Linked DNA regions of Callithrix jacchus. The protein of the gene in region 1 binds, or shares a complex with, the protein of each later gene. Links are inferred from orthologs where the notes say so. Each region holds a gene or a part of one and is shown on either strand. Other genes may lie near its edges. The genes, in order: PAWR and SPSB1.

Region 1 (15,750 bases):
TGAATGGCCAATACATCATTTTCTTTTTTGAAGTAGAATTTTTTTGATGTAAAATTTATCAGAGTTCTTGTGTTTGTAAGACATAAACCTATATACTTGTACTACAAATAGTGGATATAGCTGCATGTAAAGACATGTACTTTATGAATCAATAAATAATATCAATAATAAAATGCATACAAAATGGCATAGAAATGTGTCAGAGAGTAAATGAATAGGGTTTTTTTCTGGATTTTTGTGATATTTGTGGCATTTGTCAATTTGTTAAAATTCATTATTTAAAATAATTTCTCACTTATTCTAAATATTTATTTTCTTATGCATTCTTTTTCTTATAGAAAGTCCACCAAATTATGTAAGCTTCAGGGACCATAAAATCTAGGTCTTCCCTGGATAGGCCAAAAATCTGGTCTAAGATTACCTATAGGCAATTGAAAATAGAATATTCACTAGCTATACAAAAATAGTTTTACTAAATGGTTATAAAACAGTTGCAAAAGAGAACTACATCTATTTTTAATATGGATATCAGAATTTTTGTCTAGGTTTTTAATAACAGAAACATTATGTAATATAATGGGCCTTCAAAAACACCTTCAAAAACAACCTGTGGAAAATAAAACCAATTTTTAGAGCTCTTTCTTACAGTGTACATCAATATGGGCTTATGATGTAACTCACTAAAGACAGAAATAAGATGTAGAAGTCTCTGCTGATCTGGAGTTATGGAATAGATTGCAAAGTAACTGGAAATCTGCAAAATGGATGAATTGGACTTCCTATTAAATATAATAGGTTGAACACACATGTTTATCTTTACTTCCTCAAGTAACTTCACTAAAACCAAAGTAAAATGATAAACCAGTAACAACAAAGAGGATGAGCAGTAAGAACAAAATTTTGGAAGATGAAAGATTTGCTTAGGGAGAAAAAATGCAGACTTTAGCAAAGCAGAGAAAGGTAAATTCCAACCTACAGGAGACAAAGCCAGTAAGAAGTAATCTTTTTTTGTCTTGCAGAGCCCTGAAAAAGATTCAGAAATTGGAGGCAGCAGCATATACCTCTGAAACAGTGAAGGATGGGGGTGAAAACAGAAAGATTAGTTGAAAACCTACACAATAAACAAATTATCAGATCCTCTCTGCAGGGTTCAGTAGCAAGGAAGCTATCTCTCCTGATCCTGGCAGAGGACTGGAAGTTCACGTTGTACAGATGTTGAATTACAAAAGCCCTGAAACTGGGTATGTCAGATATACTAAGTATAGGGATTATGTGAAAATCTGCATATTGAGTAACGAGACGCTGCCAGTCTCCTTTCCCTACTTGACATCTGAAAACATTGGCAACTGACAACACAAGCAGAAATACAGTTTTACTCAAGGAAAATTATTGAGCCAAAAGCGAAGCTCCACAGATGCTGCATTTGACGCACGCCTCCAGAAAAATCCCTGGGGTCAAACACCGGCTCCCTAAATGAGGCCCATCAGTCAACAAGCTCTTCCCTTTCACAGAAGAGCTTTGAGTGAGTGCAGTGAGCTTTTCAGTTCTTCAGTCTTAAATACGAATAAACAGCAGACTGATGAAGTGCTCTAACATGAAAGATGAAGATTAAAACAAATTTTAAAAAGTAGGCAATTTGCTTAGGGAGAAAAAAATGCTCAATATGTGTCAAGAACAAGATGCTAGAGAAAAAAATATTTAGAGAATAAGAAACAGATTAGAAATAAACAGTGTCAGAAACAGAAAATTCTATAGAAAAACTGTCATATAAAGTGAAGGAAATTTCACTGAAAGTAGAATAACATGCCAAAGAAATGAAAAAAGAGAAAAGATAAAAAAATTTGTTAGAGAACTTCTAGCAGTCCAATATCTACTTAACAGGAGTTCCAGAAGGTGGGAATGGAGAAAGTAAAAGGAATGTCTTATCAAAGAAAGAGAATAAGAAAATTTCCCAACTGGAAGGCAGATACCTAATTAAAAGAGTCCACTGAATGCCTAACATAATAATGATAAAAGACCCAATCAGAGCATATCTTCAAGATATTTCAGAGGATCTGGGTAAGAAAATCCAAAAATTTTGAGACAAAAGATACAATGCAATCAGAATGCCATTCATTGGTCTTCTAAACAGCAACTCTGGAAACTAGAATATAATAAAGCAATGCCTTAAAAATTATGAAGGACAATAATTTTAAACCTAGAGTCCTATGTTTCACCAAACTATTAATCAAGTGTGAAGATGAATTTAACCTATTTTCCAATATGCGAGGTCTCTAAGAATGAATTATACTATCTTTAGAATATACCGATATACTTCACTAAAATGAAAGGGAGAAACAAACAAGAGAAAAGTATGGAATTAAGGAAACAAGAAGTCTGCAGAGAAAATGATTCGCAAGATGTTAGAGAAGCATAATCCCAGGATGACCACAAAGCAACAAGCCTTAAAATCAATCCAGATTAAGCCAGGTGCAATGGCTCATGCCTGTAATCTCAGCACTTTGGGAGGCCGAAACTGGCAGATTGCCTGAGCTCAGGAGTTTGAAACCAGCCTGGGCAACACAGTGAAACCCTGTCTCTACTAAAATACAGAAAATTAGATGGTGTTGCAGTGTGCGCCTGTAGTCCCAGCTACTTGGGAGGCTGAGGCAGGAGAATTATTTGAACCCTGGAGGGGGAGGCTGCAGTGAGCCAAGATCGTGTCACTGCACTCCAGCCAGGGTGACAGAGTAAGACTCCATCTCCAAAAGAAAAAAAAAATCAACAATCAGATTAAAGCAGGGGATGGAGGGCTCCAGAAGAGAAGTTTCTCCCTGCTCTCCCCGAAAAAAGAGAGAATAAGATAGAACAGAACTAATAGCTTACTCAGTGTGATTAACTTCATTGAAAGAAGGAAATTTGGGTATAAACTCGGGACTAGTATATAAGAAAAAAGATGATAAAAAAGAGGCAAGATTAAACTGCAGAAAAATGGTTAAAACAAAAGGTATAGTTGTGCAACAAGGAAAAACAGTTGTAAAAAATGCAATCATAGTACACCACATGACTCAGCTGTGAACAGTATTTGTAGTCATAATACTAAAAACATTGAAGGTTTATTCAATAAAAATCATAATATAAATATAGTTGGAGTGTAGGAGTATGAAAAGTATTTGTGTCATTAGTATATCAGAGCTAAATCCTCTTCTATGAGATATCTAAAAATGGAAAAATCAAGACATACAATAGCAGATATACACATAAAAATATGAAGATCTCTAAAAAGTTTAAAAAGTTTAAAGTTTTGGGTAAGGTTTTCAGAGTGAGTAAGGTAGAGAGGGGATTGCTGTTTTTTGTTGTATTCCTTGTAGAACTAAAAAATGTAATTTTTTATACTATGCACATGTAATATTTTGATGTTAGAGGATGAATTACATATGCTCTGGAAATATCTGCATTTAAGGCAAAATGGCTACTCCCCAATATACCAGCTATCCATACATATCAATAATACCATGCCTCAAAGCATTAAGACTTTAACATACAGAATAGGTTTCACTCTGACATATTAAAATGAATGTTTTGTTGGCATTATCATATTTCTTTTTATTATTAAGGGCAAGTGCATAGCTAAAAACTGGTTATTTTAGGCTAATTCAGAGGTGTTCAATGGGGGAAGAATTTTATCCCAGGGAACATTTGGCAATGTCACAATACCGGTCGGGGGTTCTTATTGGTATCTAACAGGCAGAAGCCCAGGATGCTGCTAAACAGGACAACAAAGAATTATCCAGCCCCAAATGTCAATAGTGCTGAGGTTGAGAAACCAAGCTCCAAGTCTTTGAGGATTATTTCATCAGAACGCTATACATAAAGACTGATGATATGCAAACATCTTGCAATTTAGGACTGACTCAGCTAAATACATTGGGGCAATGTTGGAAGCAGTCTGGCTGTGAAATATACCTTCGGGAATATTGAGAATGGTAAAGACAAAAGGTATAATAAATGATAATAATAATAAAACACAGAGCTTTGTACCTCAATAATCTCTTTCATCCACGGTTCCTAAAGAACTTTATAGACTAATAATAACTACTCTGGTAGTCACATACTACCTTTTATCTGAGGACTGCAGGCACTTTCACAACACTCTCACAATGTAGGAAGTATTATTATCCCCATTTTATACATAAGTAAACAGAGGCACAAAAGTTAAGCAACTTGCCCAAAGCCACACAAGTCGGTAGCATTCAAAATTCATGACTCAGAACCTATTGATACCAACAGAACTGGTCTAACCCATGCAGTGATAAATTTATGTGGTGTGTTATCCCAGTTCATTCAAAGTCTATTGTTTTTTAGGTTGATATTGTATATTCAGTACCCCACCTATTTTACTTTGCTCTTCTCCCATATACTTTTTAGAGACCAAGGACTGTAAGTCCCTACAAGTGACTAGGTTTACTGAGTGCCTTCCTCAAATCAAGCACACTTTATGTGCAGTGTCAGTTGTTAAGACAGCTGAAAAATAATGTGATTTTTGCTGATTTTATAGTACAGAAAGCTGAGTGCCAGATAATTTAAACATGCCCAAGACTTCTCATCTACTTAACATAGGTTTGTATCCAGGCTGACTATACCCTCTCTCCACTATATCCTGCAGCCCTTCTAAGAGAAAGTCCTTTGTTAAGTTACAAAGCATATTAATGTGAATACATTTAATGTCCCACCCTTCCTTCCTTTCTGTAAAACTCAGAAAACAAAATAATGACTATGTAACTGATAAATTTCAGGTGGCACACTGCGGTTGGTACCAGCTAGGTAAACAGCTGCTTACCCTTTTAGTCCTATTCCCAAGAAAAGCCTTTAATTTTCTAAGGCTTTTTCCGCACCTCTCTCCATATGTTCCAGACCAAAGACCAGAATTGTCTTTCCCTAAGAAATACACAGCATGTGAATCACTTTCTTCTGTTCCCAGTTCTGTGGCAGGCAAACACTGATTGCTCACTCACCATGTGCTCCTGGGCAAAACAGGAATATTAAGTAGGAAGAATGGTTTATGTTGGGTAAGAATGTGACTTAGGGCTCTCCTACTTTTTTTTTTTTTTTACAAAATGGAGATCTGGCATTTGTCGCCGCCCACAATTATGTGCCCTGACATTACTTGGATATAGAAAGGTCAGACTTCTCAGGTGCGTCAGTGGCAGCCCACCCACCACCTCTGATCCAGAAATTTTAGATGACTTGCATCTGAGGATAAGCCTCTGGCATGTTAACAATAAAAAAATAGAGGCAATCATTGCCCAGCTCATCTCAAATTAGCATCAGTGCAGCGTTAGTACTTTGGTAGGCAGCTTTGCTGCTAAATTCACTCTGTAAAGAGGAGATGGGAGAGACAGGGTTAAGAGGAAAACTCCAAGACTGGGATCGCCAATACAATAAACTGTCGAACTTTTTTCTCCCACAAGTCTATTAGTAACTCCTTCCTCTTAGCCAACCCTTTTCACCAGGACACCAGTTTTCTTAGAAGGAGGGTGGTGGGTTTGTTTCCGTTCTTTCTATTCTCCTGCACGCTGCCCAAAGTACATCTGAAAAGGGAGCAGCGACTAGGGAAAGGGACACGTGGGTATTTTCCCATCCTGTCTAGTCATTCCCTGAATCATCACAAGTTATCGCACTTTTCCCCTTAGCCAGCAGCGTTCGAGACTTTCTCTAAAATAATACGGTCTTGTACTTAAAAGGAAGAGTGGTGGGAGAAGAGAGAGGCGGAGAAGACAAGCGAGGAGAAGGGCGTGGAGTGTTGTTCCCGCCCCGGAGTCGCAGGCGCCGGGAGGCCGGACGCCGCGAGGCTGCTAGCCCAGGAATGTGCGGTCCAACCCGCCAGCCGCGGGCGGAGCGCGGCGGGCGCGGTGCGGTCGGCGGCGGGTGCAGTGTGGCCGGCGGCGGGTGCGGAGCGGAGGACGGCAGGCTCGAAGCAGGCGGCAGCGGCGGGCGGGACGCGGCGCCGCGCACCTGAGCGCCGGGGGCGGGGCGTCAGCGGCCACGACCCTACCCACCGCGCGCCGCGCCCCTCGTGCGCCGCCTCGGCCCTTTCCGTTCGTGCTTCGGCGCCGCTCGGCTCCCTTCCCGCCCCTCGCTCCCTCCCTACCTCTCTCGTTTCCCTCCCTCTTGTCCTGGGACTGCTTGGAGCTCCGCAGCGCGAGTTTGCTGCGGTTCTTTGGGCGCGGCGGACGAGTGCGCCAGCTTCGGCTCACCTGGGCGCCAGATCCCAGCCCCACGCCTCTTCCCCTACAAGCTCCTCCGAGGTAAGGGGCTGCCCGGCCGCTTGCTCACACCCGTCCCCTTCCCCGCTCGGTGGGACAGCGGGGTCCCCGCCTCCTCCGCGAGCCGGCTAGGAGCTCCGCGCCTCGCCCTGGGTGTGGGGTGTCGCTGGCGGGGACCTCGGACCCGCAGTGGCCAGAGCGCGGAGCAGGCGATACGACGGGCCGACAGGTGGCGGGTCTGGCCCTAGTACCTCCACCGCCTCCAGCACGGACCCCGGTGGGGACGGGGCGGGCTGGCCAACTTGGGGGTGGGGTCAGTCCTCTCTCCTCCCTTCGAGGGGCGGCGATCGTCGGGGCCCTCATTGTAGGTGCGTGGGAGAAACTTTGCAGGGTGGGGACCCGGCGGCTTCTCGCCGGTAGGGACTAGTTGGCACGCTCGAGGGCTCCGAAGGGCGCAGCCTGGGGGCAGACCCTCGGGTCGGGCGGGGACCTTACGCTTCCCCTACCCGCCCCCTTTTGTCTTTCCCCTCAGACCAGCTGGCTGCTGGGGGAGCGGCGGCCGCCAAGCTCCTGGAGGTCGTTCCCTGGCATCCTCGCGGACGGAGGAAGGAAGAGGCGGCAGCGGCGGGAGCCCTGGTGGGCGGCCTGAGGTGAGAACCCGGCCAGCCCCGCTGGGAATATGGCGACCGGTGGCTACCGGACCAGCAGCGGCCTCGGCAGCAGCACCACAGACTTCCTGGAGGAGTGGAAGGCGAAACGCGAGAAGATGCGCGCCAAGCAGAACCCCCCGGGCCCCGCCGCCCCGGGAGGGGGCAGCAGCGACGCCGCCGGGAAGCCCCCCGCGGGGGCGCTGGCCACCTCGGCGGCCGCCGCTGCCAACGAGCTCAACAACAACCTCCCTGGCGGCGCGCCGGCCGCACCTGCCGCCCCCGGGCCCGGGGGCGTGAACTGCGCGGTCGGCTCCGCCATGCTGACCCGGGCGGCTCCCGGCCCGCGGCGGTCGGAGGACGAGCCCCCAGCCGCCTCTTCCTCTGCTGCATTGCCGCCCCGGCGTGACGAGGAGGAGCGGGACGGCGCCCCAGAGAAGGGCAAGAGCTCGGGCCCTAGTGCCAGGAAAGGCAAAGGGCAGATCGAGAAGAGGAAACTGCGGGAGAAGCGGCGCTCCACCGGCGTGGTCAACATCCCCGCCGCAGAGGTGAGTCGGGCGGGGGCCGCAGCCGGGCCGGGGCGGGCAGATGCCTCCGCTGTCTTCCTCCTGGGAGTCCCCGGGGCCTGGAGTTTTCCTCCTCTGGTTCGTACTTGTCCCTTCACCGAGTTAGGCAGGCGGGGGTGATGGAGTTTTATTCTCCACAAATGCTTCCTGGGAAGTTCCTCAAACTTAGAGCAGGACATGTGCCCTCTTCAGGCTTCCTGGCCAGGTCTCAGATCCAGTATCTTTCTTTACCGTGGTGGAAAGACAACTTGTGGCTCCAGGACTTGCCCACCTGGACCTGGCTGTTTATGCTTGATCAGTTAGAAAAATTGATTAATGGTGGTGACAACATTTTCTAGGGTCCCACGTGCCCATGTGAAGTTGCCAGTTTATCTCTTTCCTACCGACGTTTAATAGTACCTGTAAAGAAAATGTGGCCTTAGCAATTATCCAAGACAGCTTTATCTTCCAGTGAACTTAAGATGAATATATCTAAATGAATATATGCACTCTTTCATGTATCAACTGTTTATAAGTTGTGCACCTAAACACATACATAGGTTTTTTTTCTGAGGGATATTTAGGACAATAGGCATCCTTTAGTAACCTACAGTTCTGTTTGCTAAGACGATCTCATCTTCTTTTTAAGTACTGTATCTGAAATACATATGTGGTAGGGTTTTTTGTTTGTTTTGGGTTGTTTGCATTTTTGAGCATTTTCAAAATGTTGCTACAGGTAGCAGCATCTTCCCGTTAGACTGACGGGTAAAACATTTTTACTAAGTGTATAATCACACCTCCTTCTACCAGAAACAAGACAAAACAATCTCAAACAAGTTTTGGTTACTTTAATAGTAGCTCACGGATTTGAGGAAGTGGCTGAACTACCTTGTTTCACCTAAAATAGTTGCATCTTTTTCTCATTGACCCTTTAGTTTTCACTTTTTTTCCTCCTTGCTTTCTGATTTTACTCAATTTTGCCACCCGGTAAATAACTATTAAGAATTTACTAACTTTAGTTGTGGTTTAAGTAAAAGCATTTGCAATAAGTTAGGGTGTATATAAAATACACCTAAATTTTTAGAATTAATATGATTTCCATACCTAGAAAATCATAGTGTATCTTTGTAGGGTGTATTTTTATATGAGTGTTTCTGAGATTTTTATCAGCCAGAAAAACTGTCCTCTGTGGTTTGCTCCTTGCACAAAAGATCTGTTATTCATTAAATTGCTTTAGAAGGAATTCTAAGGGTGGTAATCAAATTTCCATTTTTTTTTTAAGTTAAAAATATGAAGATTAAGGGGAAATTGAAGACAAAGCTTTGGGAAAGCTACATTCCTCAACTTTATTTTTAAAAGTAGCTGATAGTTCAAATAAAAGATTTTGTCCTTTTCAGTCTTTTCCTAATTGTTCATCTGACAGGGGTCTTATTTTGGGAAATAACTCAGCAGATGTTAAACTTCACTTTTTTTCTGGCTGCATGTGCTAATATTATTTTTCAAGTAGTTTTTTCAATGTTTCAAGTATTTTTCAATGTTTACTGAGGGAAGGAAGTAGGGTGTATCTTGTGAGATCCTAAGAAACATCTTTTGTTAATACCCCTGCTTTTGAGTAAGAGAACATAGTGCTGAGAATGTAGATGACTCCCCACTACAATGGAGTATAATACTCTGGAATGTTTTCGTTTGGGTGTTGGCAACTCCTAAATTTAATCTTCCTTAAAAACAAACAAACCAAGGGTACCTTTTTTTTTTTTTTTTTTTTTGGTCTGTGGAATTTGAACCTTTTTATTGAATAGGGAATTGAGGACTGCTTTCTTTTAGTGGTAACTATGGCTCTATCCGTTTCAAGCTGTAGGACCCAACAAAACATAATAATTTTTTACCACAGTATCTAATTAACAGACATATTTCTTGAATGCCTCCTCCATATATTGTCATTTTTTTCAAAACAACTTAAGTATTTCAGATTATTTTAAAGTGGTAAAATACATGATGCAAAACTTTTAAGCTGAGCCATTTTCATGTCTTTATATTGTTGCTTTTTTAGAATTGTGTGCCATTTCTTCTAGTAGTTTCAACAGTGAGAATACCAGTTGCTGTGGAGTTTCTTGTGTAATATTTAGTTTAGCACTCCTGTTTTAAAAAGTCATATATATTTTGCAATGTTTTCAGGTATGAAAATATGTAAAAGGATGCAAACGACCAATCTATATTCAGAAGTAGTCTTATATTTTATCTAATGTTGAGTAAAACTCTTATTTACAGACATGATTCCTAGCCATTTTATATTAGTAGATTAACATGTAGTTCGTATGTAGAGATCTTGTTTTAATGGTTGATAAACATGAAGCTCCTTCAAGGAAGTACTTACGAAACATCTGTGTGATACGTTTATTGTGACTTTGATTACCTCATTTTACTAGTTATAGATTATATAATACTGTTATAAAGGTACCTGAAAGCAGCTAAAGATACTAGAATCGACGAGAAGATAGTTTTAGGTGAGGAACCAGGTCAAAAACTGAAACTAGTCGATTTGGGAGATAGGAGACTGGGTGGTTACTGTGTGTGATGAATGGAAAGTTGAAATATCCAGAGCTTCTTTAATGAGATAAAATTTACTAAGAGTTTTTTTTTTTATCCTTTTTTTCTATATTTTTACATTTTCAATTTTTTTGATAGTAATTCACCTGAATTGCATAATTTGGACGTGGCATACTTCTTGCCAGTAATTTTGTGTGTGTTTATCAGATCAGTCAAATGTTTGTTACATACCTGTTAAAGACACTGTCCTTAAGCACTGGAGAAAACAAGAATATGGCAGTGTATATTTTCAGGGAGCAAGGCTGTAAACTAGGAAGAAGGATAAGGCATGATTACATGAAAAAATTTAAGTACTGAGTTAACAGTTTAAAAGCCATCTTTTTTTTTTTTTTTTGAGACAGAGTCTTGCTCTGTCATCAGGCGCCAGGCTGGAGTGCAGTGGCGCGATCTCGGCTCACTGCAACCTCCGCCTCCTGGGTTCAAGCAGTTCTCCTGCCTTAGCCTCCCTAGTACCTGGGACTTTAGGCCCACGCCATCATGCCCAGCTAATTTTTGTATTTTAGTAGAAATGGGGTTTCACCGTGTTGGCCAGGATGGTCTTGATCTCTTGACCTTGTGATCCTCCTGCCTCGGCCTCCCAAAGTGCTGGGATTACAGGTGTGAGCCACCGCACCTGGCCAAAAGCCATCTTAATGAAGCACGTAACTATTTATTGGAAATAGTGTGTGTTTAAAGGGAGGAGATGATTGGGCTGGGAGAAGCTATTGATGTTGAGAATCTTGACCTGAGTCTTAAACTTTTCGATGCCTGTATATTTTTACATATATTCTCACATATGTGCATGTATACATAACTGTAAGTATATTAAGTATCAGCATACAGTGGTTCTTAACTGGAGCAGCACATTGATATCATGTTGGGATCTTTTAAAAAAAATGTTTGCTCATGCTAATTTCTTACCCTCTTTGTCCCTTCACCCCACCCTCTAATAATTGAATGGATCTACAGTGGATCCCAGGCATTAATTATTATCATTATTATTTTTGAGATGGAGTCTTGTTCTGTCACCCAGGTTGGAGTACAGTGGCGTGAGCGATCTCATCTCACTGCAACTTCTGCCTCCTGGGTGGAAGATGATTCTCCTGCCTCGGCCTCCCAAGTAGCTGGGATTACAGGCGCTTGCCACCACACCTGGCTAATTTTTGTATTTTTGGTAGAGACAGGGTTTCGCTATGTCTGTGAGGCTGGTCTCAAACTCTTTACCGCAGATGATCCGTTTAGCTCGGCCTCCCAAAGTGCTGGGATTTCAGGTGTGAGCCACCGTTCCTGGGCCCATTAATATTTTTATAAGTGTACTATTTGATTCAAATGTGAGTCAGTGTTAAGAACTATCGGGCTGCAGTCTGGGCATAGAAATGAATAGGACATAAGCCTTGCCCACAAGGTACTCTCAGGTAATAAAAGGAAATGTAAAAAGCAGAGCTGTAAGTATAACTTAGTGTCTGAGCAGGGTACCTAACCCAGGGAGGAGGAGGGATAGTTGAAGAAAGCTTCCTAGACGGTTATATACTTGTTTTCAGGGTGCTTGTGAAACTTTTGCCATAAATAGGGTTGTACGAATGGGTTAATGGAGATGGTTGCCATAGAAAATATAATCTTTCAACAGGGAGAGGTGGCCCTGAGGTTTTGATTTAAGTATAAGAGTTAACATATGGTATTTAAAACTTCTGTTTTAAAATAGTGGTTGGATAGAGTGGTTTAGCTTCAGTGGTTGGCTAAAGTGCTTTATGTACTATCTTAATGCTCACAGCAATCTCATGTGGTTGTTATAGTTATTCTGTTTATCCCCATTTCTAGAGGTGAAAATGGAGACTTAGAGCTTAAATGATTCACGATCACATAGAAAGTGAGCGACAGAGCAATATTTTAAATGTTTTTGTGCATTTTGTGTATATGTATATATCGAGGGAAAGGAAGGTTTTTAAGAATTAGCCTAGCTTTTATTATTCAGCATATTTCCCTAGATTTTTTATGTAACTTTTTACTAAAAATTATCTTAAGTAATTTAAACACCTGAATGAGGAAAACAGTAAAGGTATGGAATTGAGTAGAATTTCAGGTCAAATTCGTGGACTCAGAGATTGCTTCTGACCTTCTAATTTAAATTAGCAAAATTTTGAACACCACACTCAGCAAAATGTAAATTTTTTTTTGTCTAGTGGTAAGAAAATGTGGATCTTTGATTTTACTTAAGTGATGTATTTTTCTAAGAAGATGGGATCATAACACCTACTTCACAGTTTGAATTTGGGATAGTAAAAGGGAAGATAAAGGAGCGTTAAGCATATAGAAAGCACTTTTAAGTGAACACAGGTTAGATCATAATCATTTAGTATATTTATTGAACATGATATAGGACAAGTTCCACTTAGTAAACTTTATAAATCCAGGTTGATTAAGAATTGCCTTTTGTTTTTCCCATTATGCTCCAGACTGTCTACCTTTCTGTGTGATGAGTCAGGAGAGAAACTAATAATGACTCAGAGTTGGAGAAAATTTGATTTGTGAATGGGGTAGGTATAGTGTTAACACTGAGTCTGCTTAGTATAAAGCCTGGGCTGATATTAGCCCAGCTTTCTTAAATGTTTTAGCTCACTGGTAAAGTAAATTGAAATTTTAATATTATCAGGATTTGTACTGAGTTGTCTAAGCTGGGATGCCATTTGTCATAAAAATTACGTAATTAAAGTAGATGACATTTATGTTGTGCTTATTAAGTGCCAGGCACTGTTCTAAGCACTTAACGTATATTAGTGCATTTAGTTCTCACCACAGCCCTATGGGAAAATGGAACAGACAGGGGATGTTACTTGCTTCAGGTCATATATGTGTGAGAAGTAGATGAGAGATAGTCTGCACTCACAGTCTTGTGTATAATAAACCATCTTAACGCTACACCTCAGTGTATTACATAATGAATATCTAGTTTAAGAAATACAAAGAATATTTTAGTGTTAAATTGTTAGTATATGACTATAGAATTTGAAAATAGCCCTATTTATGCAGGATGGATGAAGTGAGATTTTAATGGAAAATTTTGAGAACAAATGAATGTATAGACACTGGCATTAAAATTCTTATTTAAAATCATCAAGCTAGTGACCTGTTTATACTATTTTTTTTTGAGATGGAGTCTTGCTCTGTCACTCAGGCTGGAGTACAGTGGCATGTGGTATGATCTCAGCACACTACAACCTCTACCTCCTGAGTTCAAGTGATTCTCTTGCTTCAGCCTCCCAAGTAGCTAGACTACAGGTGTGCACCACCATGCCCAGCTAATCTTTGTATTTTTAGTAGAGATGGGGTTTCACCATGTTGGCCAGGCTAGTCTCAAACCTCGGGCCTCAAGTGATCCGCCTGCCTCGGCCTCCCAAAGTGCTTGGATTACAGGCGGGAGCCACCATGCCCAGCCTGTTTATGCTATTTATTATTTCTGCATTTTTTTTTAGCACTGTAATGCTAAATAATTATGCCATTTAATAGCAAGGTTGATATAATGTTTTACAAGTATAAAATTATTGGCAAATATTAAGGTTTGATATTTTCTCAGTGCCTTTTTCCTTTATTTAAAATTGAGATACCATTCACATACAGTAAAATTTACCCTTTTAAAGTGTACAGTTCAATTTTTTTAAATATTCACATGGTATGCTCTTAAGTACTTTTATATTTTCATCTTTATTTTTCATTATGTTCCTAGAATCTGTGGTGCCTAAGTTTTAGCTTTCTTTCCAGTAAAGTGATATGGTGTTCACATTATGAGAAGCTATTAACTTAAAATAATTTAATATCAGCCTTTCCCACATTTTACAGAGAAGTTGGAAACTATGGTAGGATTTCCTCAATTTTAAATTTCTTAAAACTTGGGCACCTACTACCATTTGTTTGCAGTATAATACATATTTATTAGGTTGGTGCAAAAATAATTGTAGTTTTTGCCATTGAAAGTAATGGCACCAACTTAATAATTGGATTAATTTTGTACCAACCTAATAATTGGATTACTTTTGCACAAAGTTAATAATTTAATGGTGTGTAATACTTCCAGTTTACTTAAATTTTTACATATCTTTCATGGAGAACTGCAAAGCTCTGTTATCTAAACATTTGGGAACATTGATTCAGAGTAAAAACGGAGTTTCCAACACTTACCACTTTAGTTATATTACTAGAATCAGTGTCCTAAAAGATGTGTCTGCGGGCGGGGGGGGTCCACCCCTACCTGTAACACTTGTGTTACTTATTTAAAATGAAGATTTCTGCGATCCACCCCAGTCTGGGTTAGGGATTTTATCTAAGAGTCTGCATTTTAACTTGAGTGATTCTTGTACACACTAAAGTTTGAGAAGAACTAACTTAAATACCTTATACTAGTTTATTGATCCGTCATATGAAATAGATACTGATTATCTAACAGGATTGTTATATGAACTAAATAAAATGATGTTTGTGAAAATGTTGTAAAAATGCCCAAATCATAAATAGTAGTTACTATAGAGATTAATTTTCTATGAGATTGTAAACTTCTCATTTTTTTCTTCCAATTAAAAACTGTACATATTTTAACAGACAAATTGAGCACTTAGAAATTCAAAGTACTTTAAACATTTATGTAATGTCACATACTTCATGCAAAATACTGTGGCTGCCTTGCCTCTTTTCCAGAATTTAGGCAAGTCTAGATGAGAGAAACACCTCTAATAGTTAAATGTATAATTAGAACTTTACTTTCACTCATTTTTAAGTTTTATGTATCTTTAAGTAAAAGCATATAATTGCGTTTATAAATATATTTGATAATTAGCAACTCAGATTTTTAAAGCATTGTTTTTGACATCTTATCAAACTACAGTCAAGTGCAAAAGTTTTTCCCATTAATTAAAAATCTTATATGTTAGACCTATAGACATCCTTGACTGGCAGTTGATCTGAAACATATTTGTATAAGTGCTGAGTTCACTTTCTGTTTAGATCTTAGTTGTGTTACAGCCATATACCTACTTGTATAGAGTTGAGCCTCAGCCACCTGTTATATTTTCCTTAGACTGTGTAAAAGTATGGCACCATGGCTGAATGAAATTATAGGAATACTTAATTTCTAAAAGCAGCAAAATCACACACTTCAAAGGTAGAAACAGCTCCTGCAAGTTCAAATCTTAGCATGTCAGTTGACTATTACATGTTTATTCTGTGACAGTTTCTGGAGATTTTATTCAACAAATTTTTATGGGTCACAGTGTATTTTTCAATGAGAGTCTCATTTATTTTAAGTAGTTGAGGAAATAGGGCAGTTGTATTTTGAAAATTAATATTTTGTTAGACTTTGCTGAAATGAACAGATAGGAGAGAATTTATATTGTAGATTACAATTCTGTAGCAGCTGAAACTTTGTTTTCAGGTTCTTCATAATAAATTATATGGGGCCAGGCACTGTAGCTCACACCTCTAATCCTAGCACATTAAGAAGCTAAGGTGGGAGAATCAATTAAGCCCAGCAGTTCGAGGCTGCAGTGAGCTGTGACTATTCAACTGCACTATAGCCTGGGGGACAAAGTGAGACTCTGGCTCAGAAAAACCAAACAAAGCAAAACTCTAGGGTTTGAAATACGGAACTGAAACAGATAAAATTAACTTAAAAAGACATTTTTTGGGCCGGACTCAGTAGCTCACACCTGTAATCCCAGCACTTTGGGAGGCCAAGTCGGG
Region 2 (15,050 bases), on another chromosome or scaffold:
TTTATGGGTGTGTGCATGTGTGTGGGGGGTGTGCATGCATGGGTGTGTGCCTGTAGTCACACATGCACAGCGTGTGGTGGGTGACGGTGGCGGCAGCAGGGCCACATCTGTCCTCTGCTCTCCCGTTCCAGCCCTGCAGGTTAGCACAAGTCACACTCTTTGCGTCTTTGCTCCTCCTGGGTGGGGATGAAGGCGGAGTCCTCCCACCTTCTGGAAAGTCACCAGTTGCTCAGCAATCCCAGGCCCTAATGCTTCTGTGGCACTGCAGGACCCCACAAGGCCTAGTTATCTGCATTTGCTTCTTAGAGCAGCAGTAAGTGGGGTGGACCCAGAGCAGGGGGCCTGTACTGTTCTCTCAGCTCCTGCCTGAAGCGTGGTACCCAGTGCTGCACACCCTCCTGGCCCAGGGATGTCTGTCATGGTCCGGTGTTCACAGGAGCCATCCCAGCACCTGTGGATGTTTGTTATTTGGCACCTGTGGGTGTACACACCCCCCATCCTGAGTGCCATATTCAGGAATTTTGGTGATGGTAGTAGCAGTTTTGCTAATACCAATCGAACAGGGGCATTCCTGTTTGAATACCATGTGGCCCAGGACTCGTAGTTTATCTGTTTTTATAAATAGTTTTATTGAAACATACCCATGCCTATTCATTTACACATTATCTGGAGAGCCTTAAACAGTTACTATCTGGCCACTTATGGAGGGACTTTGCCAACCCCTGGTTTAGAAGGAGCCTTAAACTTGATCTGCTCTAGCCCAGCCTTTCAAGCCTTTGGGTCTTGGCCCAAAGGCAGCGTCCATCTAGAGGGCCAGATGTGGCCAGGAAGACAGGAGAGCAGTGATCTTTGTTCAATGAATGGAGCACAGGCTGGGAAATAAACAAAAGTGGAAATGGCAGTGGCGCCAGCCCCCCCGGAACACTGTCTCCACTGAGTTTTAGGTAAGTGTGTGACAGATGAGTGAGCAGAAGCTTGAAGAAGCTCAGGCTGGATCTTCGTGGCCAGAGCTGCTGTCTCTGTGTGTAAGCTCAGAAGCCCCAGGAAGCAGGGCTGGGGAAGCGCCCATCAGGCTGCAGTCCCAGGGGAAGCAGCTTGTCCAGCTCCTGGGGACCCACAGGAAGGGTGGATCTGTGCAGCCACATTTTAAAATAGAGGAAGGCAGGCAGATGGATGGCTTTAGTGTTCTTGCACTTCGAGGAGGTGGCTAGGTGTGAACAACAGGAAGTTGGGAAGGCAGTGTCATCTTTAACCATAGCCTGGACACAGGGCGGGTGACAGATGAGTCATGAGTAGCCCTAGGGTCACCACAGTGACTGACCACCTGGGAGGTGACTCAGATGGCAGAAGTGGCCAGGTGGGTGGCCCACATTCCCTGGCTAGGCCCTGGGGTGCCCTTGTGAGGGAGTCACCCCACAGTCCTGGAGGCTCCTTTACCTGCCCTCTCTGCCCAGGGAAAACACCCCACACTCTGTCCCCAGCCTCCCTCCTCCCAGGCCCTCCCTCCCACCAACTCCCACGTCTCACAGCATTGTGGTCTAAGGCCTGGGCTGGGGTACAGGGGAAGGTGGGTGGAGGCGGAGGGGTGGTGGTTAGGGTTCGGCATAGGGTTAGGGTTAGGGATAGGGTTATGGATAGGTTTAGGGTTACAGTGAGGGATAGAGTTAGGGTTAGGGTTAGGGATAGGTTTAGGGTTAGGGTTAGGGAGCTCAGCCCAGCATCAGTGTTGAGGACTTGCTGGGCCACCTGAGGTTCTGGCATCTCAGAACTGGGAGAGCTTGTGGAGCCAACCTTGGCAGACAGACAGTGGATGTCCCACGTTGGGGTGAAGCCATCCTTTCTGGTGACTCTTTCTGGGACAGGACTGGGAGCTCCCTCCCGCCATCCAGCTAATGCCTGCTGCAGCCCCACAGGGCTGTGTCTTAAGTAGAGACGAGGCAGGACGGCCTGGTCTAACTCGGGCTGGTGGAGCCTGTGCCAGCCTGTCCTTTATAAATAAAGTTTTCTGGAACTCAGCCACGTGCGTTTATTTATGTCCCGTCTGTGGCTGCTTTTGTGCGACAACAGCAGAGACTGTCTGGCTCTCAAAGCCAGACATTTACTATCTCGCCCATTGCAGAAAAAGCCTGCTGATCTCCCGTCTCGCTGAGACAGGCGTTCTGTGTGTTCAGGCCTGGGTTTATTAGCCTGAGAGCTCCCTCTCTCCCCTCCCTTCCCTCCCTGTCTCCCACATCACCCTTTCTCCCGCTCTGAGGTGTCCCCCTTGCCCTACCGCACTCAACCTCCCTGTTACGGTCCCTCCTAGCATTTTCTTTCTTTTTTTTCACCTGATCAGTGCTTGGATTTGACCTCCTAGCATTTTCAATTACCCTGCTAGGGGACCCCTCCCCGCCACCTTTCCCTCCTACCCACCCCTTCCTCCCCCAGCCTCCTCCTCACTCTTCCCACCTGTTCCCACGGGTGGAGAGAGGGCAGATCTTCCATGACAGATGAGATTCTGGGAGAAAGGTTTGTCCAGCCGCAACAGTTGAGCAGCAGAGGGGCTGTGGGGGAGCTACGCTGCCGGAAGCGTGCCGTGAACGCTTAGAATGTAACTCCTACCCTGTCCTCTCAGGGTGCTGAACTCTGTGCCCACAGGACCCTGCAGAATTGAGAATACGGAGAGGTCCCTGGGCACCAAGCTGGAGGGGGTGTCCAGACAGAGATGCGGGGGTACTCTGCGCTCCTGCTCTATGCAGCTCTGCCCTCGAGAGCTGCCTCAGGCCGGCCTTCCTACAGCTCAGAAATGCTCCAGTGGAGGTTGGGAAGAGGGGAATTCAAGGAAGGCCACACCCCAGCCACACCAGACCAGCTCTCTCCGCCTCCTGCAGCTTGAGGTGCAGGCCCCAAAGCCACGGAGTGCCCTCTGCAGCCACATAGAGGGAGTCCTAGAGGTTTCAGTGGCTCCCAGGAGAGGAAGTGGGAATGAAAGCTTGAAAATGGGATTTTCCTGGGAGATCGTGGATGTGAGGTCACAGTATTCAGAACCTTCTGAAACCAGGGTGGTCCTCCAGGCTGCAGAGGGGCACCTCAGCTCTGTAATGGCTTTGCACACACTGGACACAAGGAGACCTGCCCTGTCTCTGAAGAGATGACCATGTCTCTGAGATCAGAACCCTCTTGTCTATGGCCGGGTGCAGTGGCTCATGCCTATAATCCCAGCACTTGGGGAGGCCAAGGTGGAAGGATGCTCTGAGGTCAGAAGTTCAAGACCAGCCTGGCCAACATGGTGAAGCCCTGCCTCTACTAAATACAAACAATTAGCTGGGTGTGGTGGTGTGCACCTGTAATCCCAGCTACTTGGGATGCTGAGCCAGGAGAATTGCTTGAACCCAGGAAGCAGAAGTTGCAGTGAGACGAGACAGCACCATTGCACTCCAGCCTGGGCAACAAGAGCAAAACTCCATCTCAAAAAAAAAAGAATGCTCTGACATCAGAAAGGGGAAGTCGAAAAACATGACCTGGCCCCTGAGATAAGGGGGTCGGGGCACCAAATTTTCCCATGTGGAAAGGTTCTGCTGGGACCAAACCACCTGGGCACCTGGCTGCCCTGCAGATGGGGTCTCATGGGGCCTCTTACCAGCTGAGAGGGGGCTATAGGTCAGCCCTGCACAGCCTGGCCCTGGCTGGCCCCACACTGAAGGGGAGGCCAGTACTCTGAGGTCCCTGGGTTTCCCTGTGTCTGGAAGCCTGCAGCTTCCCACACCCCTGGTTCCTTTGGGTTCTCTTTGTCCCCCTTCCTCGGGCACCCTCATAACAAGCAGCCCAGAGTGACTCTCCTGGCAGCCAAGGCTCCAATGACCTCCCACCCAGTCACCCCCACAGGCTCCTTTAGTTCTGTTTCTTCAGCCAGGAGCCTGCCTTGCCCCTGCCCTGGTTGATCCTAGGAGCCTGACCCTAAACCAGGCTGCTCTTCCTGGCCTCTCTGGTCCCTTCCAGAGGCCAAGGGGGTTCCTGATGGCAGAAAGAAACTTCTCTCTTGAACAAGGCTTGACTCTTCCGCCGCCACCTCCTCCTCCTTGGATAGAACTCTTCCTGGCCAGCACTTGGGGAGGCCGAGGCAAGTGGATCACTTGAGGTCAGGAGCTCAAGACCAGCCTGGCCAACATGGTTAAACCCCGTCTCTACTGAAAATACAAAAATTAGCCAGGCATGGTGGTGGGTACCTGTAATCTTAGCTACTTGGGAGGCTGAGGCAGGAGAATTACTAGAACCCAGGAGGTGGTGGTTGCAGTGAGCCAAGATCATGCCACTGCAATTCCAGCCTGGGTGACAGAGCAAGACTCTGTCTCAAAAAAAAAAAAAAGAATTCTTCTTGGGCTGCCAGTGGAGAGGATGGGGTAGATGCAGTGAGATCTCTCTCCCAACCTGAGTCTCTGTTCTTCCTCCCTGAAGGACCCAGGGGATGGTAGCCAGAGAGGGAACAAGGCGTCTGTGTGTTGGACTTCCTCCCCAGACGTGCTGTTGAGCCCCAGAGGGCGAAACCCTGGCTTCTAGTTGAAGGGCGTGGGCAGGAAAAAGAGGTGATCAGTCAGATAAGAACTCCTGGGGGTCAGGGATGAGCCCCCCATGCTGTCTGAATCCGGGCCTGCCCTTGAGAAGAATGTTGCTGGCGGAGGAGGCTCCGGGGCCCTTCCTGCCAGGAGCACACAGACCCCTGAATTGAGCTGTTCGTCTGCACCAGAGGGCTCTTCTCTGGAGTGAATTGGTGGTGCGTCTGCTGGAGGTCGCTGTGCCAGAGATGGGGAAGAGGAGCTGGGATTGGCATCCTCAGCAGCCTCTGCTGCTAACCGGGCTTCCCTTCCCCTCTGAAGAGCAAGGCAATAGCCATCTACCTCCCTCTGTTTTGACCACGAAAATGCCCATTGTGTCGTGGCTGAGACCCGGTTCTGTGGCACTGTGGCCTTCTGCCCTGTGGGACCCTGATGAGGTATTTGGTGGGCATCAGCCATGCGTCTGCACCTAACACAGATGAGGGTGACGCCCAGCCCCCAGGCCCACCGCTCCATGCAGTCTGCCAGGTGGACAGACAGCCCCTTTCCTTTGTGACAGCCTAGACAGGGAACAGAGGATTTCATTCTATGCCAAGGCTCCAGCCTGCCCATGTCAGGCCTGACGGAGCCCAGGCACAGACTGCCAGGATATGCCTGTGTGGTCGCCTCACCCTCCAGGTTAACTCTCCCCTTCACCCTGTAGCCTTGCTCACCGCTGTTTGTCTTTCTATCCATTAGGCAATACCGAACACCGCAGCTTGCAGGGGTCTCCTGGCAGCCCTCCTTAGGAATTCTGTCTGGCCCCAATCAGAATACTGGAGGTGAGACCGCGAGATTGATGAGTTTGCCTTGGGAGTCGGTGAGAAGGTGAAACCAGGGGCGAACATGGGTCAGAAGGTCACTGGAGGGATCAAGACTGTGGACATGAGGGACCCCACGTACCGGCCCCTGAAGCAGGAGCTCCAGGGTCTGGATTACTGCAAGCCCACCCGGCTGGACCTGCTACTGGACATGCCCCCTGTGTCCTACGATGTTCAGCTGCTGCATTCATGGAACAACAATGACCGTTCGCTCAACGTCTTCGTGAAGGAGGACGACAAGCTCATCTTTCACCGGCATCCGGTGGCCCAGAGCACAGACGCTATCAGGGGCAAGGTCGGGTATACCCGCGGGCTGCACGTGTGGCAGATCACGTGGGCCATGAGACAGCGGGGCACGCACGCTGTGGTGGGCGTGGCGACGGCGGATGCACCCCTGCACTCTGTCGGGTACACGACGCTTGTGGGGAATAACCACGAGTCCTGGGGCTGGGACTTGGGGCGCAACCGGCTCTACCACGATGGCAAGAACCAGCCAAGCAAAACATACCCGGCCTTTCTGGAACCAGATGAGACGTTCATTGTCCCTGACTCCTTCCTGGTAGCCCTGGACATGGACGACGGGACACTGAGCTTCATTGTGGATGGACAGTACATGGGAGTGGCTTTTCGGGGACTGAAGGGCAAAAAACTGTATCCCGTAGTGAGTGCCGTCTGGGGCCACTGTGAGATCCGAATGCGCTACTTGAACGGACTTGATCGTAAGTGTACTCTGTGCTCTCAGAGGCAGTGCCCTCCCTCTGTCCCCGTGGTCCTGGCTGGGCTCAGGGCAAAAGTTTATACAGTCATTGAAACTAACGTGTTTTGAAGTTGATATCCCAGTGTATTCAGACCCTCAGGCAACTTTTGCCTGCATCTGGTTAAGTGAGGAATTCTAGCCAGAGTCTGCTAGATTACCTAACGGTGACTCATGAATGAAGGGACAGACGGATAGATGGATGGATGACGGATGATGAATGAATCGATGGATGAACGATTGGTTGGATGGATGGATAGATGAGTGGATAATGAATTGATGGATGTATGTTTGGATTGATAGATGGATGAGTGGTTGAGTAAATGGATGGATGGATGAATGGATGGGTGGGTAGATGAGTGTTTAGATTGACGGATGGATGAGCGGATGAATAAGTGGATGGATACATGAATATTGGATGAGTAGATGGATGGGTGGGTGGGTGGATGAATGTTTAGACTAATGGATGAATGGATAGGTGGGTGGATGAGTGTTGGATGGATGGATGGATAGGTAGGTGGATGAGTGTTTAGATCGATGGATGGATGGATAGGTGGGTGGACGAGTGTTTAGATTGATGGATGGATAGATGGATAGATGGATGGATGAGTGTTTAGATTGACAGATGGATGAGTGGATGAATAAGTAGATGGATAAATGAATATTGGATGAGTGGATAGATGGGTGGGTGGGTGGATGAGTGTTTAGATTGATGGATAGATGGATGGATAGGTGGGTGGATGAGTGAGGAATGGATGGATGGATGGATGGATAGGTGGGTGGATGAGTGAGGAATGGATGGATGGATGGATGGATGGATAGGTGGGTGGATGAGTGTTTGATGGATAGATAGATACATGGATGGATAGGTGAGTAGATAAGTATTTAGATTGATGGATGGATGGATGGATGGATAGGTGGGTGGATGAGTGTTTGATTGATGGATGAGTAGATGGATAAATGAGTGCTAGATGAGTGGATGGATGGCTAGATGGATAGATGAGGGAATGAATGGATGAGTAGATGGATAAGCAAATAGACTAATGAATTGATGGATAAGTGGATAGATGGGTACATTAATGAGTAGGTAGTCTTTGTTTCTCTGGGTGACCTGCCTCCAGGTTTGATCCTCAGTTGACCAAATTCTCGCCCACTTGCCAGCATGTGATCGAGCTGGGGTTTGCAACCTTGGGGATACTAGGGCCTCTTGGGTAAATGAATGCTAGTGGCCTCTCTCACTCATTACCAGGCTGAGTCTTTCTCTTCTGCTGGAGGCTTCTGAGTGGGCTCCTTTGAGATACAGTCCCGAGGGACTTGTTTGGTCATGAAGTTGTCAGGGAGCACATGAATCAGAAACAGGCTGAATCAAAAGTGATGACTGTGTGAATGAGCCCATGCGTAGGGGCACCATGCTGGTGTGGGAGGTGGAGGCTCCATGGCAGCCCTGCTGGGAGCCCACCATAGCAGGAGGGCCTGGCATTGCAGAACAGCTCACTGCGTGTGTGGCCCTCTCTCAAGCCCCTTGCCTACATGAGTCCCTTTTACCACCTGCAGGTCCCACCTCGGGAAGTGAGTGGGCTGGAAAGCTCCATCCACCCATGAGCTAACTGTCTTAAACAGGCAGGTTTGGCTCAGCACCCTGAGTTCTAACTCCACTCTGCAGGCCAGGCAAGAGGCGGCGGGGGCCGGGGAGGCCCCCACCAGAGGTCAGGAATACAGATGCTATCTCTCTCTTGAAGTCTCCAAACCTGCAGCTTCTCCCGATCCTCCTGTTCCTCCTCCCCCATCTCAGCCTTTGAAAGATACTGGAGAAAGTATCAGGTGGTCAGGCATGAGCAAACGCTTACATGTTTCTCTTTGGAAGCCTCCACTGCCCCTCTTCCTCCTGGTCCTCTGCTCTGACTGTGACCCTGATGGCAGTGAGTTGACAGCCACACGTGGCATCTGTGGTGCAGGCTCCCGGGCCTGCTTGGTCCTCACCTGTACAGCCCGGCGCCCCCAGGTCATGGGACTCCTGGGCAGAGTGAGTTCTGTGTCCGTCTTCCCCGGGTGATAGAAATAAGCCAAATTTGCCTCAAGCGGGGATGGGTGCAGATTGGGAGCCCTGGGCACATCCTGCCAGGACCTAGGATCTTGGGGAGCCCTGGCCCCCTCCTCCCAGCCAAGGGGTGACCATGGAGCCAGGGAGGTTAATGTCCATTCTTTGTAGACAGACAGGTGAGGGCACCGCCAGGCCTGCTATTGTTGCCTAGCCACTGGGACCGTGGGGCTCCGTGAGATTTCCAGCCCTGTCCCCTCCAGGAACAAGCCCCCTGATACTCTCATGAGCTGTGGGTTTGCACAGCTTCACGGTCATGTATCCTAGCTTCAGTACAGAGCCCTGGAGTGGCTGGGAGGGCACTGGGGCTTATTTGAACAGAGGGTTCTGCCCACCCAGTCCTGAAGTGCAGACGCGTGTCCTGTGAATAGATGGTGCCTTGCTTGGTTAGCTCTGCATGAGACAGGAGGTTGGATGCTTTCATAATTTTCCTTGTTTGGAAAATCCTAAAGGCGCTGGGTGAGTGGGGGATATGAGAATGGGAATCAGTATTTGGGAACCATTATCTGTGAGCTGGAAGCTAGATGGCCACTCAGAGCATCACATCAGGGCACTATTAGTCAATGACAAGGACCCTTTACCTCTCCACCAGAATCAGATACTCAGCAGTGCCAGGGCCCCTTGGCTTCTCATCTTCCTCAATCCTGGTCAGACATGAATGGGCCCTGGGGTACAAGGACGGTTGACTTTAGGGGATTCAGATTGGAAAATAGATGTGGTTCGCAGAGCAAAAAATCCAAGGGTGAGGCAGTGTCACAGCTCTGCTGCAGGGTGGGGGCAGGGTAGGGGGCATGGGTGTTAGTCACCAGCCTCAACCTGATTAACCTAACACCTCCAGGCCCTTATTGAGGCAGCATCTTGTGACACAGAAGTGTCATCTTGTGTCATAGAAGTGTCGTTCTACAGCCAGGCATGGTGACTTACTCCTGTAATCCTAGCCCTTTGGGAAGCCGAGGCAGGTGGATCACAAAGGTCAGGAGTTAGAGACCAACCTGGACAACATGGTGATACCCTGTCTCTACTAAAAATGAAAAAATTAGCCAGGGGTGGTGGAGCACGCCTGTAATCCCAGCTACTTGGGAGGTTAAGGCAGGAGAATTGCTTGAACCCAGGCGGTGGAGGTTGCAGTAAGCCGAGATTGTACTGCTGCACGCCAGCTTGTCTTGAAAAAGAAGAAGTATCATTCTGGCTACTCTATAGAAATAGACAGCAGGGGCAAGAGTGGCCTCTGAGAGGCCAGGCCAGGGAGGAGCCAGGCCTGTCCTGTGAGAAGTGATGGGTGCTTGGGCCAGGATGGAAGCTGCAGATGTGGAGAGGGCTGGCCCAGTCCTGGGACTCTGGAACAGGCTCCTCCATTGATTGGATGTGACGAGAAAGGGAAATGTCAAGGTGACTCCAGGTGTTTGGGTTGAGCAGGTGGAAGGCGGGGGCTTCCCGAGATGGGAGGAGCAGATGTTAAATTTGAGCATCTTCTTCGACACATCCCAGCAGCCCTGCAAGCCTAAGAGTCTGGGAAAGCCGTAAGTCGGGGAGTTGTCCACGCATGGACAGCTTTAGAGCTGCTACCCTGGCGAGGTCACTGCGAGTGGGGGCTAGAGAGCAAGGAGAAGAGGGCTGAGCCTGAGCCCTGCTTAGAGGCCAGGAGGGTGGGGGCTGAGGGGACCCAGTAGATTGGTGTCCTGGATACCAGGTGAGGAAGGGGCTTTCAGAAGGGCAAAGTAGCGGCAGGTCAAGAACATGGATGGCTAAGAGAAGAGCTGTCCATCAGCTTTGGCAACAAGGAATTCACAGTTGACCCTGATGAGAGTCTGAGTCCAGGGGCCGGGGGGAGCCTGATGGAGTGGCTGGAGGAAGATGCACGGGGTGTTCGTGTCCAGGGCTGCTGAACATGCGACCAGGAGCAGGACCCGTTAAAACAGCAGCAGTGCTGAGGCCAGGTGTCTGCAATCAGAATGATAGCAGGCTCGGCTGCCTCCGAGCTCTGAGACGGAGCCCACCCCAGGCCTCCCCTCACTCCTGGGGACTGCCAGGAATCCTTGGCGTCCCTGCGTCTGTAGATGCCTTCCCGAGTCCCTGCCTCTGTTTGAACAAGGATGGTCCACCTGTGTGTGTCTCTCTGTGCCCCCTCCTCTCCTTACAAGAACACCAGCCATTGGATTCAGGCCCCGCCATCCCCATCCAGTATGTCCTCATCATACAACAGTACGTCTGCGAAGGCCCTGTTTCCAGATGAGGCTTCACACTCTGAGGTTCCAGGTGAATGTGAATTGGGGGGCACTGCTCAACCCACTCCAGATGTGGAGGCAGCCAGTGTAGACCATCTCCACGAGGCCTTCCTCTCCCTGAGCCACCACCTGGGAGGGGGTGACAGATAAGCCCAGTGCTCTGTCCCCTCGCGCCACCCCCACCGATGCTGGGGTGCCCATGGTGAGGTCAGAGGCCACCCAGGTCCCCTGTCCCAGGAGAGTTGGCTTTGCCTTCCAAGGCACCTAAAGAAGGGGGGCATCCTGGTGAGACCAAATCCCAGGATCCTCCTGGGAGCAGAGCATGTCAGGTGTAGGTTCTGGCCAGGCCTGGCTGGATTTGTCATCTTTTTTTTTTTTTTTTTTTTTTTTTAGAGATTGGGGTCTTACTATGTTGCCTAGGCTGGTCTCAAACTCCTGGGCTCAAGTAATCCACCTGTCTGTCTCCCAAAGTGCTAGGATTGCAGGCGTGAGCCATGGTACCCGGCTGGATGTTTTCTTGGTATCAGGCTGATCTGGGGCTTTGCTGTCTCTATCTTAGAGGTGGTGGTAGTTCCGCTCCCCAGAAGTCTGGAGAGGCATCAGTGCCCACCCCCAACACACGGGTCCGACTTCAGTGAGGGCAGCTGTTTGTAGGGCAGCTCAGGCAGTTGCCCTGCATGTGCCTTCCTGGGGATCTCCCAGCCCAGTGTTCCCGTGGCCTCTTTCCTGCATGCCAGGCAGACCCCGCAGCAGAGTCCCTGCTTCCATGCTAGGGCTAGAGCCATGGTCGGGCAGAAGCAGGGACAATGAGGTCTCGATGTTTCTCTGTGTGGCCTCTCCACTGTCTAGCCAGCTGGGGCCACAGGCCCTGGACTCTGATTCCTCCTCAAGGCTTGAGGCTCAAGGCCTTGTGCTGAGGATGCAGCCAGAGAGGCTGCTGGGACACCCTCCCTGTCTTTCCTGGGGCAAGAGTGGAGATGGCCATTGTTGAGTGGGGAGACAGGGCCTGGCCTGACCCCAGACCTGCCCGCCACCCTCCCTGGAGATGCATAAAGGCCTGTCTGCAAGCAGCAGGTGGGCAGGCAGTCCAGGGAGCGCCCCTGACCTCATGGGTCCTCTGGCCCCACCCCCCACTGCTTTAAAGACGTCTCCCACTGAGGAGGCATCGTCCATGATTCCGCATTTTAGAATTTTCTTTATCAGCTCCAGATGGGTTTGGTGTGGTTTGTCATGGTTGAAGGTTCAGGGAAGGTCAGCTCTTTTCCTCAAGATCCGCACCTCCTCCCAGGTGCCTCCTTCCAGCACTCCACTCCAGCCTGGCTCTTCGAGGAGGTAGTTCTCAGGAGGCTTATGCCCCCCACACCAGGGGCTTCCTTCCTTCCTTCCTTCCTATGTTGGGAAGGGGTTGTTCCAGATGCTCTTCCCCACCTCCTCCAGGAAATCTGGTCCTATGAGGACTGCAGGCTCTCAGAGTCGGCGGGGGTGCTGGGTAGGGGACCATGAGTGTCTGATCACCTAGATGGATCTCTGATCACCTAGATGCATCTCAGGCATCCTTCCCCAGTTGACAAGGACAAAGGCTCCATGTTTTGTTTGGCTCTGCTCTTTCATAAGAACTACTTAATGGCCAGGCGTGGTAGCTCACGCCTGTAATCCCAGCACTTTGGGAGGCCAAGGCCGGCAGATCATGAGGTTAAGAGATTGAGATCATCCTGGCCAACATGGTGAAATCCCTTCTCTACTAAAAATACAAAAATTAGCTGGACATGGTGGCGCACACCTGTAGTCCCAGCTACTCGGGAGGCTGAAGCAGAAGAATCGCCTGAACCCAGGAGGTGGAGGTTGCAGTGAGCTGAGATCGTGCCACTGCCCTCCAGTCTGGCAACAGAGTGAGACTGTCTCAGAAAAAAAAAAAAGAACTGCTTAATGTAGAGGAAAACACACACACACATCCTATGATGGCCACCCCCACCGTGACATTCTAGAATCCATGTCCTGTAACATGGTCCCCATAAGCCTCTTTCAGGGCCAGCCACAGGAGCCATGACAGCCATCGGTGAGGACATTGCGGAAGCCAGGCGTTCTCCCAGGCAGAACATTTTTCCTTGACCTCATCACTCTGCAGCTCATTCATTCAGCCTGTGAACCGGGCACAGCACCACCCTCTTCAGGCTTGAGTTGGGTTGAAATCTCTCAGAGAACGTCGAGATAGCCGTGGGTCAGGCCTCTGAGGCCGAGCGCATCCACGTCGGCCCCCAGGTAGCCATTATCACAGAACTGTCGAAGGTGGTGTACCGTCTCTTCTAGTTCCTCAGCCTTCTGCTCCCACAAATAACACCTGATTGACTTCCTGATTTCTTTGCTGCTCATTCAGCATTGCACTCTCTCATTCATAGAAATTATTTAAATGAATGCACGCCTAAGCTTCCCAGGGATGGGCACAGCAGCCGGAGGCCCCAGGCCATGGGACAGGTGCCCACCCCCTTGGTGGATTTCAGCAGACACCTGGGTTTGTGGCTGGAACTGGGTGCAAAGCCGGCAGCCCCCAGTCAAGAGTGTGGAGGTTGGGGAGAACCTCCTAGTCCTGGTAATAACCAGCTGAAATGGGGGCTGTGCATTCTTGGTCTTTGAAAAGCAGTTAGACTGGGGCTCTCTTCGCCGTCAGTTTCCTCCTGCAAGAGCAAGGAGGCATGACCTGCTTATGTGCTTGAGGCCCCAGAGAATAGACCCATTCACAGGATGCCTGGGTGACTCTAGTCCTATTTTCAGCTCATAAGGCATCACTGCAGCCATTCACTGCCGCTTCTGTAGCCCGTCTTGGTGGATCCCATGACCCCTCCCTAAGTGGGTTATTCAGTGGGATCCAAAGATGGCCAGGTCCTTCACGCCGCACGGCTGCTTTCACAGAAGGTAGATTGCAGTAGCTGGAGGGCTCATTCCTCTGGAGTCCATGGCTCTCAGACCTTGAACCCCTGATTCTCACCTCCCATTTTCCCATCTGTAGGTTGCGGTCAGTTGGGGTCACAGTCCCCACCAGGCACTTGGCTGGTACCCAACAGGCCATGACTGGGGCTGGGGCTACAATGTCAGCCACCCAAAATAAGGCACTGGTGGAACTGGGGCTCCTGTGGGCCTCTGTGGTTTAGAAACTTTTTTTTTCTTTTTTTTGGAGACGGAGTCTTGTTCTGTCGCCCAGGCTGGAAGGCAGTGACATAATCTCGGCTCACTGCAACCTCCACCTCCTGGGTTCAAGCAATCCTTCTGCCTCAAACTCTCAAGTAGCTGAGACTGCAGACATGCACCACCACACCTGGCTAATTTTTGTATTTTTAGTAGAAATGGGGTTTCACTACGTTGGCCAGGCTGGTCTGGAACTCCTGACCTCAGGTGATCACCCACCTCGGCCTCCCAAAGTGCTGGGATTACGGCCATGAGACACTGCGCCCAGCCTAGAAATATTTCTTCATGAGTTGATTTGAAACGCTTTACACCAAGCGGGTAGTGATGGGAAGTCCCTCTCAGCCCTCACTGCCACAGCCTGGCAGGGCTTTTGGGCCACATTCAGTGGCTCTTGGAGCTTTCTCAAGTGCTTTCCAGTCTCCAGGGAGAGCCCCTCCACCTTCCGGTGGGGGCTAAGCCCCATCCTCACGGGAGGGAGCTCAGGGCGGCCCCGATGAAAGCCAGATGCAGGAGAGCTTCTGAGCAGAGAAGAGAGCACACCCCCAAATTCCCCACTCCCAATAACCCGGTCAGGCCGGCCAAGAGCTGTAATAATCACTCTGGCCTTCGGGATCTTGGCTGCATGGGGCTTTGGGGAGAATCTGGTCTGGATTCCTTATCTTACAGATGGGGAAACAAGTCCAGGCACACAGAGAGATCTGCTCCAGGTCAGGCTTCGGGGCAGGGTCTGGAGTGGCCAGGGTGGGTGCTTTACCCGAGGGAAACCCAACACTGTGAGTGGCTGGGTGGGTGGAACCCAGTCCCACCCCATCCACAAGGGATTGTGGGATCCTTGACCTTAAAGGACACCGATTATTTTGTTCTTCCTTCTGTCCCCAAGAGGAGCTCCTCTTAATCATCCTAAGCTGTCCACAAAAGGCTCCATTTCAAAATTCTCCATGAAAAACACTGATAGGATTTCCAATCCCTATCAGAAGCTGTGGCTGTCCATGGCGGGTAAAGAGCAGTGATCCCTCCTCTTTTGTTTTTTTTCTTTCTTTTTTCAGTTTTGGGTTTTGGTTTGTTTTTCTGAAATGGAGTCTCACTCTGTCACCCAGGCTGGAGTGCAGTGGCACAATCTTGGGTCAAGCCTCCACCTCCCAGGTTCAAGTGATTCTCCTGCCTCAGCCTCCCAAGTAGCTGGGATTACAGGCACCTGCCACCAAGCCCCGCTAATTTTTTGTATTTTTAGTAGAGACAGGGTTTCACCATATTGGCCAGTGTGGTCTCGAACTTCTGACCTCAGGTGATCTGCCCACCGTGGCCTCCCAAAGTGCTGGGATTACAGGCATGAGCCACCGAGCCCAGCCTGCCTTTTTTCATTTTTGAGACAAAGTTTCTGTTGTCCAGGCTGGAATACAG

The links.
Region 2: the proteins of PAWR (region 1) and SPSB1 are in contact, whole or in part, in a crystal structure (PDB 2JK9), measured with the Homo sapiens proteins. The link is inferred for Callithrix jacchus from reciprocal best matches to the Homo sapiens genes PAWR and SPSB1. Residues at the interface, in NP_001341661.1 of Homo sapiens: Glu68, Leu69, Asn70, Asn71, Asn72, Leu73, Pro74; in NP_079382.2 of Homo sapiens: Arg77, His78, Pro79, Val80, Ala81, Gln82, Gly110, Thr111, Tyr129, Val216, Trp217, Gly218.

The regions. Positions count from the first base shown.
Region 1 is NC_133510.1:82,371,593-82,387,342, reverse strand, and holds the start of PAWR (PRKC apoptosis WT1 regulator protein), read left to right. Parts: upstream 1-6,157; 5' UTR 6,158-6,287; intron 6,288-6,587; exon of another isoform or gene 6,588-6,613; intron 6,614-6,777; 5' UTR 6,778-6,924; coding exon 6,925-7,440; intron 7,441-15,750. UniProt on the Homo sapiens protein: Pro-apoptotic protein capable of selectively inducing apoptosis in cancer cells, sensitizing the cells to diverse apoptotic stimuli and causing regression of tumors in animal models.
Region 2 is NC_133508.1:47,214,531-47,229,580, forward strand, and holds part of SPSB1 (SPRY domain-containing SOCS box protein 1), read left to right. Parts: intron 1-5,270; 5' UTR 5,271-5,417; coding exon 5,418-6,111; intron 6,112-15,050. UniProt on the Homo sapiens protein: Substrate recognition component of a SCF-like ECS (Elongin BC-CUL2/5-SOCS-box protein) E3 ubiquitin-protein ligase complex which mediates the ubiquitination and subsequent proteasomal degradation of target proteins.